2 linked regions of the Alligator mississippiensis genome follow. The protein of the gene in region 1 binds, or shares a complex with, the protein of each later gene. Links are inferred from orthologs where the notes say so. Each region holds a gene or a part of one and is shown in the gene's direction. Other genes may lie near its edges.

Evidence for each region. Proteins that work in one complex are often made in the same cells at the same time.
Region 2: the proteins of tubulin beta-4B chain (region 1) and CFAP107 are in contact, whole or in part, in a cryo-EM structure (PDB 9CPB), measured with the Bos taurus proteins. The link is inferred for Alligator mississippiensis from reciprocal best matches to the Homo sapiens genes TUBB4B and CFAP107. Residues at the interface, in NP_001029835.1 of Bos taurus: Lys19, Glu22, Asp26, Tyr36, Asp39, Ser40, Asp41, Leu42, Gln43, Leu44, Glu45, Glu53, Gly56, Gly57, Tyr59, Pro80, Leu215, Leu217, Thr219, Thr221, Tyr222, Gly223, Asp224, His227, Leu228, Ala231, Gly244, Gln245, Phe270, Pro272; in NP_001033296.1 of Bos taurus: Thr74, Val75, Glu76, Gly77, Leu78, Tyr80, Lys81, Leu83, Ile84, Thr85, His86, His87, Gln88, Glu89, Gln92, Arg93, Tyr94, Leu95, Ile96, Ser97, Thr98, Asp101, His102, Pro133, Pro138, Thr139, Asn140, Tyr141, Leu143, Tyr144.

Annotation. Positions count from the first base shown.
Region 1 is NC_081835.1:40,550,596-40,557,530, forward strand, and holds tubulin beta-4B chain, read left to right. Parts: upstream 1-3,932; 5' UTR 3,933-3,997; coding exon 3,998-4,054; intron 4,055-4,173; coding exon 4,174-4,282; intron 4,283-4,362; coding exon 4,363-4,473; intron 4,474-5,214; coding exon 5,215-6,275; 3' UTR 6,276-6,431; downstream 6,432-6,935. Other genes in the region: CIMIP2A (ciliary microtubule inner protein 2A), read right to left, coding at 6,432-6,517. UniProt on the Homo sapiens protein: Tubulin is the major constituent of microtubules, a cylinder consisting of laterally associated linear protofilaments composed of alpha- and beta-tubulin heterodimers.
Region 2 is NC_081836.1:6,839,274-6,847,209, reverse strand, and holds the start of CFAP107 (cilia- and flagella-associated protein 107), read left to right. Parts: upstream 1-4,930; 5' UTR 4,931-5,362; coding exon 5,363-5,494; intron 5,495-7,686; coding exon 7,687-7,800; intron 7,801-7,936. Other genes in the region: arylacetamide deacetylase-like 4, read left to right, coding at 806-1,022, 2,551-2,614, 3,467-4,241. UniProt on the Homo sapiens protein: Microtubule inner protein (MIP) part of the dynein-decorated doublet microtubules (DMTs) in cilia axoneme, which is required for motile cilia beating.

The DNA of each region.
Region 1 (6,935 bases):
AGTTACCTGGGGAATTGGAGGCATTCCCAGATTCAAATTAGGATATTATATAGCAGGGGTGAGCAAAATGTGGCCCTGGGGGCCAGATGCAGCCCACCAGGTCATTCTATCCAGCCTGCAGGGCCCCTAAAAATTTTAGAAAATTAATATTTATTTGCTCTGGGCTGCTTATCATGTGGCCCTTGATTGCTTGCCAAAACTCAGTAAGCAGCCCTCTGCCCAAAATAATTGCCCACCCCTGTTATATAGGGTACATCTACGCAAGTGCTTTACTGTAGAAATGACTAATTAGCTTTGAAGTAAAGAGTCATGATCTACATGTGTGCCCGTATTAAGGCGCAGTAAATTAATTAACTCCACTGTAGGATAGTACTGTCTGGGACAAGTACTTTCCTACAGCAGAGTAGTCACATGTGCCAAAATGCATGTGTATACAGTGATTGGAGCTGCCTGGGGCATGAGGGTGCTACAGTTTGGGGGATGCCTACTAGCTAACTCTGCACTGTAGCACCCTCATGTCCCAGCCAGCCCCTCCACAGCATATTGAGCTGGGGCAGAGGTGCATGTATAAACTCTGCAACCAAGAGCAATAAACTCATGCATGAACTGCACTTCAGTTTATTGCTACCTGCTAACTGCACATGTACATGCACCCATAGAGGGTTGTGATGAGGAGCAGATGTAGAATGACGGGAGGGCTAGTAAATGGTGAATTATTTTGCTGCATCAGGCAACTGGGATTGATTGAGTTAGGAGAGGGTTACTGTCTGTTTTTGGAGGTTTAGGAATGGTTAAGGGAAGTTTGAAGATGGTGCACAAATGGGGCAAACCTGATAATTGGGAAGTGTAGCCGAGAGTGGAAGGAATAGGAAAGTGGGGCTGGGTCAAAGGGGATGGGAGCATAGTATTCAGGTGTGTCTTTTCTTACAGTCATTGCTGTGACTGTAGCTTGGGTAGGCATACCTGAGCTAGCTTGAAAATTAGCTAGCTTGTGTACTGCTCTCTGTAGCCATGGCAGCATAGAACTCCGTGCCAGTTGCAAAAGCAGTGAAAACATGAGGTAAATATGTGGATGGCTAGCCCATTCTGAGCTCCCTGGTACTGCAGATACATTGCTAATGTCACTCAAGCTTATTAGTTTAAATATAGCTTTAGGTATGTCTACACAAACTAAATTCACAATAATATATTTGTGAGCTCCCTAGTGGCATTCTATTTTATGCCTCAGAAGTTGCCAGAAGCCATTCAGAGCAGTACTGTGTTTTCATAACTGGGCTTGGCAAAGCTGTGTATATTTAGTAAACCACTGTGCCGCTTTGGTTTCTTTATATTGTTTGTGGCTAAATATTGGAGAAAGAAGGGGTTGAGAAGGGAGGACTGGGTGTTAGGAAGCAGAGAAGTAACTGAATCTCAATAGTTGGGGTATTATAGTATTGGATATAGGGGAAATGTTTGTAGGGAAAGGGTACAGCAGCCAACTTTTGAGGAACACAATCTGGGGCAGTGCCAGACACTCCACAGGCCTCTTGAACCAGAAATAGCACCACTTATAGCTCTGGATAGTGCGCTTGCCTTAGTGTGGTGCTGCAGGTTGGCTAATTAGACCCATGCAGTACTGTGTGAATGCCAGTATGAAGCCAACTGCCTCCCACACAGGTAGAAGTATAGTTGCATTCTTGCAGCCTAGTGCTGCACCTATTCAAGCTTCAGGACACTTCCTTTCACTGTGAAATGTCACCTCTTTTGGGATCTTTTTTCCAAATTCAGGACAAAATTTAGATCTTTGGGTACAGGCTAAAAATTTGATAATCTCCTGGAAAATTTGGAAAGCCATTTGCTTTAGGGAAGGAGAACCTGTTTGTTGGAGGGTTGAGTGTAGATGGGTTTGCGAATGACAGCTAGGTGAGGACAGAAAGAGGCCTTTGTATAAGAAAGGGAATTAGGGTCGTGGTGGGCAGTTGGAATATGTCTTTGGAAAGGGGTACTATGTTTAGAAATGCGTATAGGGGTGGTTGGGGGGCTGGTAGTAAATCTGGGTATCAGGATGACCATAGGGTTGGGTGTAGGAGTGGATGGCAACTCAGTGTTGGGAGGTGGAGGAGGGTTAGGAAGGAGATTCTAGTTTGGGGAAAGAAAGAGGAAGTTTAGGATAGAAGTCTGAACGTAGTGTGGGCCTGGTAGGTTGTGTTTCAGGAGGTTCGTCCCAGGGTTGCTGTGCATTTCTGAAACTGATTTTGGAAAGATGTATAGAAAGGCCCAGTGAGGAAGGAAGAGATGTCCCTGATATCAGAATGCACAGAATGGGTGGATGATTGGTATCTGGATAATGAAAATGTATGAAGGGACTTGTAGGGAACTTGGTCTGGGGTACTGGGGTTAGTCTGGAGTGGTAGCAGGGTGTCAAGTGGGACAAGTTGGCTGAGAAGGGAGCCTCACTTGCAGTACAGCAGGTCTCTGGAAAGGGGAGGATTTGGAAGCAGGGTGAAAGGGCAAAGTGCTTGGGAAGGAGCTGCTGAGTATCAGGGATGCGTGCACTTGCAGAAGTGGGGCTGGATGCTGAGCAACAGGCTTTGGGGAAATAGGATGTCCCAGGTGGCAGTTTGGGACGATTGGTGGCAGTGGGAAAAAAGGGTGCATGGCAGAAGTGGCTTGAAATGAAGTAGGTGTTGGCTGCCAGGGCTGTGGGGATGTTGAGAGAGTGCGTGCTGGGCACCAGGGGAGTGGATGGTGTTTGGGAAGGGGCTGCTGGCTGCCATGCCTCCACGAATGCCTCATGCATGCCTCATGCCTCCCCAGGCTCGGGGGTACGGCGACCACCCGCAGAAGGCGGCGGGTTGTGGGGGCAGTGAGCGGGGGCCACCTGCAGGCGGCCGCAGCAGTGTCAGGGGCAGGCTGCGGGAGATGGTGAGCGTTGACCGGCGGTTGGCGACCACCCGCAGATGCCGCTGGCAGTGGCGACGGTGGCCAGCGGCAATCGGCAACGGCCCGCAGACGCTGCCAATTGGGGGGAAGGGGAGGGGTGGCGGGCGGCAACCGCCTGCAGGCGCCACCAGCACCGTTGGCAGGGGCAGTCTCCAGGGGTGCACCGACAATCTCAGGGGGTGCATGTGCACCCCCTGCGCGCAGTCAGTGCGTGCTTGTGACGGATGTTGGGAAGGGGACCCCGGGCGGGGTGGACAAGTGGCATGGGCCAGGGGCGAGCGGAGTAGCAGATCCGGCAGGGAGCAGAAAGAAGAGCGAATCGGCAGTGGCAGGGGACCGAGAGGCAGGTGGGGAGGCAGCAGCGCTCCTCGGCCCACTGGTTCAGGACATCAAGGGCGGGCCGCACGCGGTCAGAGGAGGTATTTCAAGTGTGCGGATGCCGGAGAGGACGGGCCTCAAAATGTTTTTCTTTTTCCAAGGAAACGCGTCCCAGGCAACACTGAAGGGGAGCTGCCCCCACCCCCACATTTACGGCCACAGCGTAGCGCCTTGCCGCAGCTCGTAGTACACGTCCCGCCCGTTACGCTGCAGACGCAGCCTAAAGCCTTTCAAGAATACAGACAGAGCCACCGCCTTGCTCCTAACGCAAACCTCACTGCGGCGGTTCCTAGGACACGGGGTGTTAACCCAATCGTTGTGAGATTACTTCATTGCTACGGGAAACAGCCAATCAGCCTCTACATCAATCATTCAATTAAACCAATCGGAGCTGTGCTGAAGAGGGAGGGGAGAAATTGTGACGTTCAGAAACTTAACGTCACGACCCGCAGGAGGGGGCGGTGTTGGTTGAGGAAACGTGATAATTTGACCGACAGTTTCTTAACCAATCGCGCTTCTCTCTGTTCCGAGCCTCATTATGGTTGTCCAATAGTTTTTGCCAGCGGTCGGCCGGGGCCGAGGGAACGTGGGTGCGCGCGCAAACCGTTACTATATAAACGGCGGCGGTTGCTTGACGCACGCAGTGAGGCTGGTGCGGTGCTGTGGGCGGTTCGGAGTTGTCTGCAGAGCCGCCATAATGAGGGAGATCGTGCACCTCCAGGCCGGGCAATGCGGGAACCAGATCGGGGCCAAGGTCGGTGGCAGGGGGCGGGCGGGCGGGCCGGTAGTAACCCTCGGTACGCGGGGGCAGTGGCTGACAGGCGGGAGGGCCGCCGCTCGCTGCAACCTCTGACCTGGGTGTGTCTCTTGCAGTTCTGGGAGGTGATCAGCGACGAGCACGGTATCGACCCCACCGGCACCTACCGCGGGGACAGCGACCTGCAGCTGGAGCGCATCAACGTCTACTACAACGAGGCCACAGGTAGGTGCTGCCCCCGCCCCTCCTGCCCCCCCCCCCCCGCACCCCGATTTCCGGCCTCACTCTGCCTCCCTGTTTTCTAGGTGGCAAATATGTTCCCCGCGCAGTGCTCGTGGACCTGGAGCCGGGCACCATGGACTCTGTGCGCTCTGGGCCTTTTGGGCAAATATTCCGACCTGACAACTTTGTCTTTGGTGGGTGTCACAGGGTTTGTTTGGGATTGGGCGGGCAGGCGGGGGGATAGCTTGCCTTGTCTGTAGTGAACTTTATCCTGGCTGTAGAGGACTTCTTTGGAGCAGGGTAAGCTTCACCTAAGGCTTGGCTCTGTTTGAAGTGGTCACAGGTGTTTTGGGTGGGACGTGGACAGGGGCAAGGAGTGAATTCCTTGTCAACACACTTATGATGCATCCAGTTTCTGTTGCAGTGTAATCACTGCGACTTCGAGTTGATCCAAGGGGGCATTGTGCGAACATGGTAATTGGTGTTCAACCTTCTGGCCCTTTAGAGGAATGGTAAGGGGTCACTCCACAAACCAGCACGCTTTTAATATGTCTACTTCTCTCTCACCATTAAACTTCTGGACCTGGAGAGAGCTGTCTGTGCCATATGTTGAGCACCACTGTTTTTAACAGACTTTGCATGTTGAATACTCGCACTATTTCTTTATAGAATAATCTGGAATAAGAACTTTAAATTCATGAACTGCTGTCTTTTTGCCAGACTTGGCTTCAGGCACAGTCATGTCTATTTTTTTTTTTTTTTTTTTTAATATTAATATTGAAACTTGTTCTTTAAAAAGTAATTAAAGAATAATATTTCTTAAATATTGTCACTACCAGGAAATGCATTCTCAAGCACTCCATTTAAAAAAAACCCATCCAAACCCATAACATCAGCAGTGCCTGTAATGTAATGTAAAAATGGTTTTCTTCCAGGTCAGAGTGGAGCAGGAAACAACTGGGCAAAAGGCCACTACACTGAAGGTGCTGAACTGGTTGACTCTGTGCTAGATGTTGTAAGAAAAGAGGCAGAAAGCTGTGACTGCCTCCAGGGTTTTCAGCTTACACACTCCCTTGGTGGAGGCACTGGCTCTGGTATGGGCACCCTCTTAATCAGCAAGATCCGTGAAGAATATCCAGACAGGATCATGAACACTTTTAGTGTTGTGCCTTCACCTAAAGTATCGGACACTGTAGTAGAGCCTTATAATGCCACACTTTCTGTACACCAGCTTGTAGAAAACACAGATGAAACCTATTGCATTGATAATGAAGCACTATATGACATCTGTTTCAGAACGCTGAAGCTAACTACTCCAACATATGGTGATCTGAACCATTTGGTGTCAGCAACCATGAGTGGAGTGACCACTTGCCTACGTTTTCCAGGCCAGCTTAATGCTGACTTGCGTAAACTTGCAGTTAATATGGTTCCTTTCCCCCGTTTGCACTTCTTCATGCCTGGCTTTGCCCCACTCACCAGCCGTGGGAGCCAACAATATCGGGCTCTAACTGTGCCAGAACTCACACAGCAGATGTTTGATGCAAAGAACATGATGGCGGCATGTGACCCACGTCATGGCCGCTACCTCACTGTAGCTGCTGTTTTCAGAGGCCGCATGTCAATGAAAGAGGTGGATGAGCAAATGCTTAATGTACAAAACAAGAACAGCAGCTACTTTGTTGAGTGGATTCCCAATAATGTTAAAACAGCTGTTTGTGACATCCCACCCCGTGGCCTGAAAATGTCTGCTACATTCATTGGTAACAGTACAGCTATCCAAGAATTATTTAAGCGTATTTCTGAGCAATTTACTGCTATGTTTCGCAGAAAGGCTTTCTTGCATTGGTATACTGGGGAGGGCATGGATGAGATGGAGTTCACTGAGGCTGAGAGCAATATGAATGACTTGGTATCTGAGTATCAGCAGTATCAGGATGCTACAGCGGAGGAAGAAGGGGAGTTTGAGGAAGAAGCTGAGGAAGAGGCAGCATAACATTTATGCAGTAGCAATTCCTGTATATTATGTCTAAAGCTGTATGAACTCTTTCCATTCAAAACTTTTTTGTTTTTGTTTGTCTGTATTGTGTGAATCTTTTGCTGTTCCATGACAACTTCATGTCCACTGATGTACAGACAATTAAAGCATCTTTCAAAATGCATGAGCTTGTTGCTTTTGTTTCTGGTAAGCTTTTCGGGAACTGTTGCCAAAGGTCAGCATGTAGTTGTTTCTAATAGCTGGAAAATAAAATGCAGTAAAGTTAGCAAGTATTCATGCAAAAATAGTTTTGATTGGACAAATTTGTGGAACAAAGCTAGACAGCTAGTAAACTCAAAATATATGCCTGCTTGCAAGGAAGGGATGGTGTGGCAAGATGGTGCTCTTGTCAAAGAGCCTGCTACCCTAGAGGTGGTGAAAGGGATTGGGTGGGGGTGGGGGGGGGGGTGCAGAAGAGTCTACATCTAGTTCAAAGACCTGACAACAAGGTTAGTGCATCCCTCCTCCACCATCGCCTTTATGCTTCCTCTGTTAAACATAGGGAAAATCATGTTCCTATACCTTCCCCATGGGGAGCTGAGCCTCCGGCTTCTGCCATGTACAATCTTCACAGCAAGGTCACTAACCCATTGGCAGTGGGTGGGTGAGTGGAGGTAG
Region 2 (7,936 bases), on another chromosome or scaffold:
GAGACATTATCATTTAGAGATACTACCTAGCAGGAGGCTGAGGGACTTGTGAATCGGGAGATAGTGTCGCAGTTATGGAGAAGCTAGCTAGTTGGTTAGTTAGAGACAAAAGGGTCTGCAGGGGTTGCCTACAGCTCTACAGTTAAAGTCAGTTGTTCATTGAACGGCCATATTTAATGAAACCAATGATCACTAAAAGAATCATGGTATTGGCTTAAAAACCACTAGACATAAGAAGGAAAAAAAAGGGGGGGGGGGGCATTTTTTCCCAGCTTTCTCTAACCAGGGAGGTAACTGCTAGGAATCTCTGAAAACAATAAACTATCAAAAGCCGTACCTTAAAGAAAAACCATACATACTGGAAGACAGGAGAGAAACCAACACGTTTGGCAATACTGCCTCAGGACAGCAGGAGAAGCCTTCAATTCTCTAAGAGCCAGGCAATAGGGTAGGGCTGAATCTAGCTCCACTCTTGCAAAGGTGTCTGACTCACCAGAGGTGAAAGTGCCACAGCTCTTTGATAAAGCTGTGCATGGAGGTGCCTCTATAGACACTGCCTATGCTGCAGGTAGGCCCCCACAGCTTCCAGAACGGTCATTTGGCACCTAGTATATGGTTGTCAGTATTATTTTATTGGTATTATGTTCGTGCCTAATACATGTCCATTATTTTTGCTTCAAGAACACCAATTATTTTGTGTTTCAAAAAATACAGCATAGCTGAGCATACTGTATAGCTGTTTTCCATATGCTAAGAAGACTGGAGTCTTCCTGCACTCACCAGTTGGTTGTCCCACTTTAACTAGGGGAAGATTTTGGAGAGGATGGGTCTCTGCAGCCAACTCAATTTTGTCCGGTGTATAAGATATGGAAAGAAACCAGGGATGGACCCAAAACTCTTCGTTAAAGACCTAAATTTTGAGACGGTGCCTGTGAGGGTTTACCAGCCTAGAGCATCATCGTCTGGCCAAAGAAGAGGAATTGTTTTCTTTCATGGTGGTGGCTGGGTATTTGGAGACCTCGGTACGTATTCAAGATTGCCAACTGTCAGTAAATTTATGTACAGTCAGTTGTAACAAAAAAAAAAAAAAAAAACCTAAAAACCCCTCTCTACAAAGTCCATAGAAAAAGAAGAAAATGGAACCATCCATAAAAAAAACCTAAGCAACCAGGAGCTTTATTGAAGCTCTGTCTCTGAACAAGGCTGAATGCTAGACAGGGAAGAGCACTGCCACCAGATATCTGAGTGGCAGTGCAGCACCCTGTAGGAAGCATCTTCTCAGGGATTTGTAGCCTATATAGCTCACCCTCTCCCCAGACATGTGCTGTTGCATTCCAGTACCGGCCTGTAACATGGCTGGTCAGTAGAGGAATGGGGCACCAGCGCTGGGATCCAACTAGGAGAGGGCACCAGAATTGCCAACTAATGTTTATGTACTGGGGTTGGGGGGGGGGAGAGGGGAAAAGGAAAGAGTGAGGAAGGGAACGAATGGGACACAGGTTGGCTAGAGAGCCTAGCCAAGGGGCTGCTGCCACCCAAGTGGATCTGATGCTGCTATAGCAGTGGCAGCAGTAGCATGGAAAAGTAAACCTTCCCTTCCCTTCACTCACATTTCCCCCACCAACCTCCAGTCCACAGTGCTGGCAACACCTGTCACCCCCCTTCCCCATTCCTGCCCCTGCTCCAGCCCCCTCCCTTCCCCAAGCAGTCAATGAGCTTGCCATGCCTCTGCTGCATGGTCACAGGTCAACAGACAGCAGTCTTTCTTTGGGAGTCTGTGCTAGGACAGGGGGTGGGGCCAGTGGGGGTAAGCCTTGGAGGGCAACATGGTCCGGGATGCAATCCAGGGCATCAGGTGTGGGGGTGAAAATGGGACCTCTGTGGTGGGGGGCAGCACAGTGTAAAACCATTCCTGAAGTCAAGCAGGGTTGCCAAACCAAGGGGAAAAGTTATTGGTAATTTGCAATTACCCAATTTGCAAAGTTTACTGACAACCAAAATTATTTACTATGGTTGGTGTTAACCACCTAAGTTTGAAACCATCCCCTGGCCAAGGCCTTGCAGAATGGTTAAATTTACATTATGTAAAATGTATGTCAGTAAAAATATTGCCTGTCAGTAAAAAAATTGTAGATTATCAATAAAAATGGCTTGGGTTGGCAACCTTGCATGTGTTTAACAGAAAAATTGAGATGGATATTTCTAAAAAGATTTCTCTATGCTTTTACCAACCTCAACATCAAAAACAGAGCTTGGCTTTCACCTGAGATTTGGGAGATGCTCTGATGTTTAACTTTTCTGGTTAGCTGCACTGATTCTGTATCAGATGTTTTTTGTAGGAGAGCACTTGGCAAACTTTACTGGCTGTATCAAGCATCAGGACAGCCTAGAAGAACTAATAGGGCATGAAGGAAGGCAGCATTTAAGAGTGAATGGGGGAAGGAGAGAATTTCTTCTTTCTTTAACTGTAATCTTGGGGAAAATAGGTCATGGAATTGGAAATCCTTAAGACACTAGCAAAGCATCAAGAAAAAAACATTTTTCTTTCAGATTCCCATGAAAAGCTGTGCCGTTACATTGCCAGAGAAAGTGAATCAGTGGTTGCTTCAGTTGAGTAAGTGAACCCCACCCGGTGCTATTATGTGGAGGTTGTTCACTATTTATGTGATAGGCACTTTGAAGGGATGCACTGGTTTTGGAGACCCCCTTTCTCAGACATTATTTCTACATTCCAGTAACTCAGAAAGACTGAGGCTGAGTGAATTTTAAAGCTTTTTACTTTCGTCTTGTGCTGAGATGGTCCTAATAGGCCCAAAGTAAGCTCTTGCATCAGAACACAGCAAGGACATCTGCTGGAACTTAAAAATAAAAAAAAATAAAAGGTGGCGGGGGGGAGAAAGCAAATGTAATAAAGATCATTTTACTACAACATGAATCTCTTTGTCTTCCCCTAATAATTATTATAAACTTGTTAGATACCGAGTTAACTACTCCTCCTCTTAATCAATTCTTGGCTAGACGAACTGCCCTTGAGATTTTGGCTTGAATAAGAAATCTTTCATCTTGTATCCTATATTGTGGAATAACTTTCAGGCATCAATTTATGTTGGCTCCGTACTTTTATAGTCTCTGCATAATCGCATAGTAAGATACTGCACTTGCCCAAAAGCCATGCAATTGAAGTGGACAAGACAAACCCCACAAATATTCAAAGAAGTAAAAATAATATAGGAACAAGTATTATCATTCCCATTGGACAGATGTCATTGAAGCACACAATGATTAAACGAATTAGCCAAGAGCCCAGAGAGAGTCTGGGGCTAAGGTGGGAAAGGAACAGAAAAAGAAACCCAACAGAAAACCAACCCCCCCCCCATGAGGGCTGAATATTAAGACAATTGTAAGACATAAAGAGCCAATTATAAAGTCTCTCAATTTTATAATAACTCTTTCTTTGATATACTAGGTATCGTTTAGCCCCTGAGCACAAGTATCCTGCACAGTTTGATGACTGTCTCACAGCTGCCATACACTTTATGAGGAATACAGAAGACTATGGAGTGGATCCCACACGTATTATCATAGCTGGGGACAGTGCTGGAGGCCATCTTGCTGCTCTTGTCAGCCAAGCAGTCGTGAGTAGGCCAGGCCTTCCTAAACCTCGTGCTCAGGTCTTGATCTATCCGTTCGTCCAGGGATTGGACTTCAATTTGCCATCATACCTACAAAACTGTAAGGTGCCACTTTTGTTCCGAGAACGTGTTCCTTTCTTTGCTTTGCTGTGCCTGAATGGGGACGTATCGGTTTTGGAAGATGTCTTGGAGGGCACCCATATTCCCACGGACATAAAACTGAAGTACAAGAAATGGTTGAGTCTTGACAACATCCCTGAAGAATTCAAGGTCAGAGGCTATAAGCCACAGTTGTTCATTGAATGCAAAAAGGAAGTTTATGAGCAAGTTAAGGAAATATGTGAGCCAACTTTTTCCCCACTTTTAGCGGAAGATGCCATTTTCTGCCAGCTCCCTGAATCTTTCATCCTGACCTGCGAGTATGATGTGCTTAGGGATGATGGGCTGTTGTATAAGAAGCGACTGGAGGATAGTGGTGTTCAAGTGACCTGGTACCATGTTGAGGATGGATTCCATGGAGTCATTTCCATGTTTGATAATGGCATACTTTCATTTCCAGCTGGAAAAAAGGCACTGGACAAAATCATAAATTTCCTAAGAGGCTTATGACAACACTGTAACTATTCTAAAAGGCTTCTAAATGTTGTCATTTTCTTTGTTCCCATGGTGTTTGTTCTTCCATTTAGTGATATTTTATCACTCGGCCTCTTGTGGGCTCAATTCAAGTTTAGTTGAATTCCACTTCTACTGGGAAACTAAAATCTTCCCTTGCAGTGAATCATGCTAAAAGATTTACTTTCGCTTTCTTCTATTGGATTTTCCCTTTGAGAGTCCATATAAAGCAAATTTACAGAATCTATTAGAAAATTAGAACTTTTAGTGACCACACTGTAAAATTTAATTGCATTTAATTGCTGCCTGAGTGCTGTGCTGCGGCTGCATGCAGCACGGGCAATTATCGGCCAAATTATCAGCCACATCTGGAACCTAAGCCCTTATTTCCCATAGACTCTTGGTGTCTTTTTACGCAATTTCTATTTGCACCGTGTTGTTTCAAGAACGTAACCACTGTGTAAATGAAGGCCTGACTGTACTTTGGGTATTTTATTCTATTTTCAACAGAAGCATACTTAATTTCTGAGATAACTGATTGCCTGTATCCCTCCTAAATTCTATAGCCATTTATTAAAGCTAGTGCCATTCTCATGTCCAAGTATTACCTCTTTAATGATGCTCTTCCTTTACAATTTACAGGACTCTTGAGCACACTTGGAGAAATGTAGTGTTGTTCAGTGAGTGGAAAACGTTCAGTTTACTTCAGTAGAAAAGGACCCTCTCTATCTTAGTAATAGAGAGAGGTAATCAGCTACTGTTAGTCTCAGATCAGACAGGGTGGCACTTTATGGCCTGGTTGAGAGAGCCATAAGCTTTCATGGGTGACAGCTTGCTTTATTAGCAATAGGTTATGCCGTTGCCTGGCGAGTGTTTACACACACTGCCAATCCCCACGGAAACGGAAACAATGGTGATTCTGAAGCATCTGAATTAATGAGTTGCACACAGTCACTATCTCACCTTACATGCAGGCAGGTGAAAGTCTGAGCCCCTTTCTACCTGAGCTCTTTTGCCTGACATACTGACAACCGTTCACGTTGCAGAAGAACAAGGGTAGGGGAGCCATTCACTCTTACGTTATAGGAGGGAAGGTGGAGCTTGCGAGACAAAGAAACATGTTTGCATCTCAAGGAGACGTAGAGGACCTGTTTCATCCCATGGGGAAAATGGAACAAAAATACTCCAGTAAAGTTCTCATTGGAAACTGGTTCGAAGACAGGCAAAGGGTAAGATGGGGAAAGGAGGAATAAGGAAAGCGGCGAAATAGCAATAGAGGGGAAGGGGGAAAAGAGGAATAGAGAAAGTTGGAATGGATGCTCTGGAGATGATCAACTACCAAATATTGGGGAAGTTGGGATTGTGATCCATCTTAAAACGAACAAAGGAGGAATGGCAGAAATCGGTTTACCAGCCTGCATCCTGGGCAGGGGCTGGCAGTCTTGCCACTGAACCAGGACTGAAGCAATGCCCGAGTATGAAGGCACAGTGGCTGACAGACAACATACGACCTTTGGCCATGTATTTTCCCATGGTATTTTTCCCAGGACTAGGTATGTTAACTTCCAGTGTTTCAGCCCCATTCCAGTTGGGTAATTACTTTCTGTCTGCCTGAGATGACCACAAATGCATAGATGTTTATCCCTGTATCTTGTACTGTTAATAAGCTATCGTCCTTCCTTCTCAATGGTTTTTAGTGGTTGTTGAAGTGACCCCCATACCAACAGACATTTTATCACCTGCATCTAAAAATCTCTCAAGCATCCTGGGTTCCTTAGGTGAAAGAAGTGTTGTAATAATACTTCATTATTTTTCATTCCTATTATGCTGTAGCATACTTTTGTGTTTCGCTGTGAGATTCATGCACCTTGCCAACTTTCCATTCTTTTAACATATGCTATCTGTCTTTGTGAGCACCGCTTTGGGAAAAAACCCAAAACAAAATGCAACAAAAACAGCTTGTTTCATAATGGTATGTCACAAACAGTTCTCCTGGAAGGGTGCAATTCCCTTAGTTTTCAAAAAGAAAATAAATACATTTAAGTTTTACTGGGTAAGATGGTTTGATAACTGGAGCTTTATTTAAAATGGCAACACCCCAAGACTGAGGTCTTTTTAGACAACCTCTTTTCTTCCTCTCCACACTCAAATTGCATGTCTAATGCAGTTTGTATTTGTGTTGGGGGGGTTTTTAATCTCCAAGAATCAAAAAAATTGTAACTAGTAAGTGCAATGTATTGCATAGAGGACAATACCCTAGAATATATGCTTCTTGGGGCAAGGCCCTTCTCTTTCCTATTTCTATATGGTCTTACCTCAGCGGGTTCCCATGGGAAAAAAATAATATTTCCCCCACCACTAACCTCCAATCATCTCAGAGTGATACTGCATTGGCAATTTAATACACAGAAGGCAGGGTAGATTTGCACCTTATAGATTAACTAAATCAGAAATACATCTAGCATAAGCTTTTGTGAGCACAAGCTCACTCCATCAGATGCTGTGACAGGATGTGCGTAGAGCAGTGTATAAAATGGAGAGAGTGATCTGAATACAGAGGGCAGGAAGGGAGGGAGGAAGGGCAGTGCTGGGAGAAGTGAACATGCATTACAGGACAGAGGCCTGGTTACCTCTCCCGCTTCATAAACTAATACCTGCAACACCCCACCTATTTAGCAAAGGTACCAGAGGACCTGTGAAGATCGTGGTTGTTGTGAATACTGGGTTTATGCCGGGTAAACACCAGCACTTCCAGGAGCCCGGTAGCCTCCTATACCATATTGGTCGTAAGGATAACTGAGCAAAATATTTTCAGAATTTTATTTTTTTTTTTACCAAACACACCTATTCCTTTCAAAAGAAGTGACTCATGAATTTATAATAATTGTGAGACTTAAGATTAAGCTGGATAAATCGTAGAAAGTGTATTGGTAGGGAGCAACCCTGAACCGGTGGGAGATGAGCAAAGTACCAAGAAGAGTGAAATCAACTGCTCTTCCCCCTCCGCTTCCCCCTCCAATAATTAATCCCTGGATCACAAAAAAAGCTATGACAACAAGCCACCGCAGGGCCTGTATTTGAAGCCCATCGTGCATTCACACGCAAAGGATTTCACAAAGAGAGGTTACGCTAATTGATTTGAATACCCGAGACAGAGGGTTAAGAAAGGCTTCAACAAACAGCAAGTATTTCCCCAAGTGACTCTAAAGCCACATCCATTGGCTTTGTGGTTCTTTTTATTGACAGAGGTTCTGTAGACACCAGATTCATTTCTGCTTTGGTGGACAAGCACAAATGAGTTCAATGCCCAATTTCAATGCCCAGTTTCTGCGCTGTGAAAATCTCCCGCAAGAGGCAATTGTTTTGATGACGGCTCCTGGTCTCTTGGTTCAGCCGTTCTGAGTGTGAATAACCCAGATGCAGTGCATACCTCTTTTTCTAGCCGACACAAGAATTTACAAAGCCCAGCAATAGCACCTACAGGACAGACTTTGTTCGCTTCCCGTTCTGCGCTCCAGACCAAACAGTGAAGAGAAGCGTGATGAAGAAACTTGAAGTAAGTGAAAGCAGTCTCAGATTGAAGGATGGATGAGTCAGTGCAGAAAAGAGGAATGAATTAAGAGTAATAAGGTTTCAAATTCTGCCCTACCTCCTCAAATACGTACACGCCCAGGGGGAGGGAGAGAGAGACA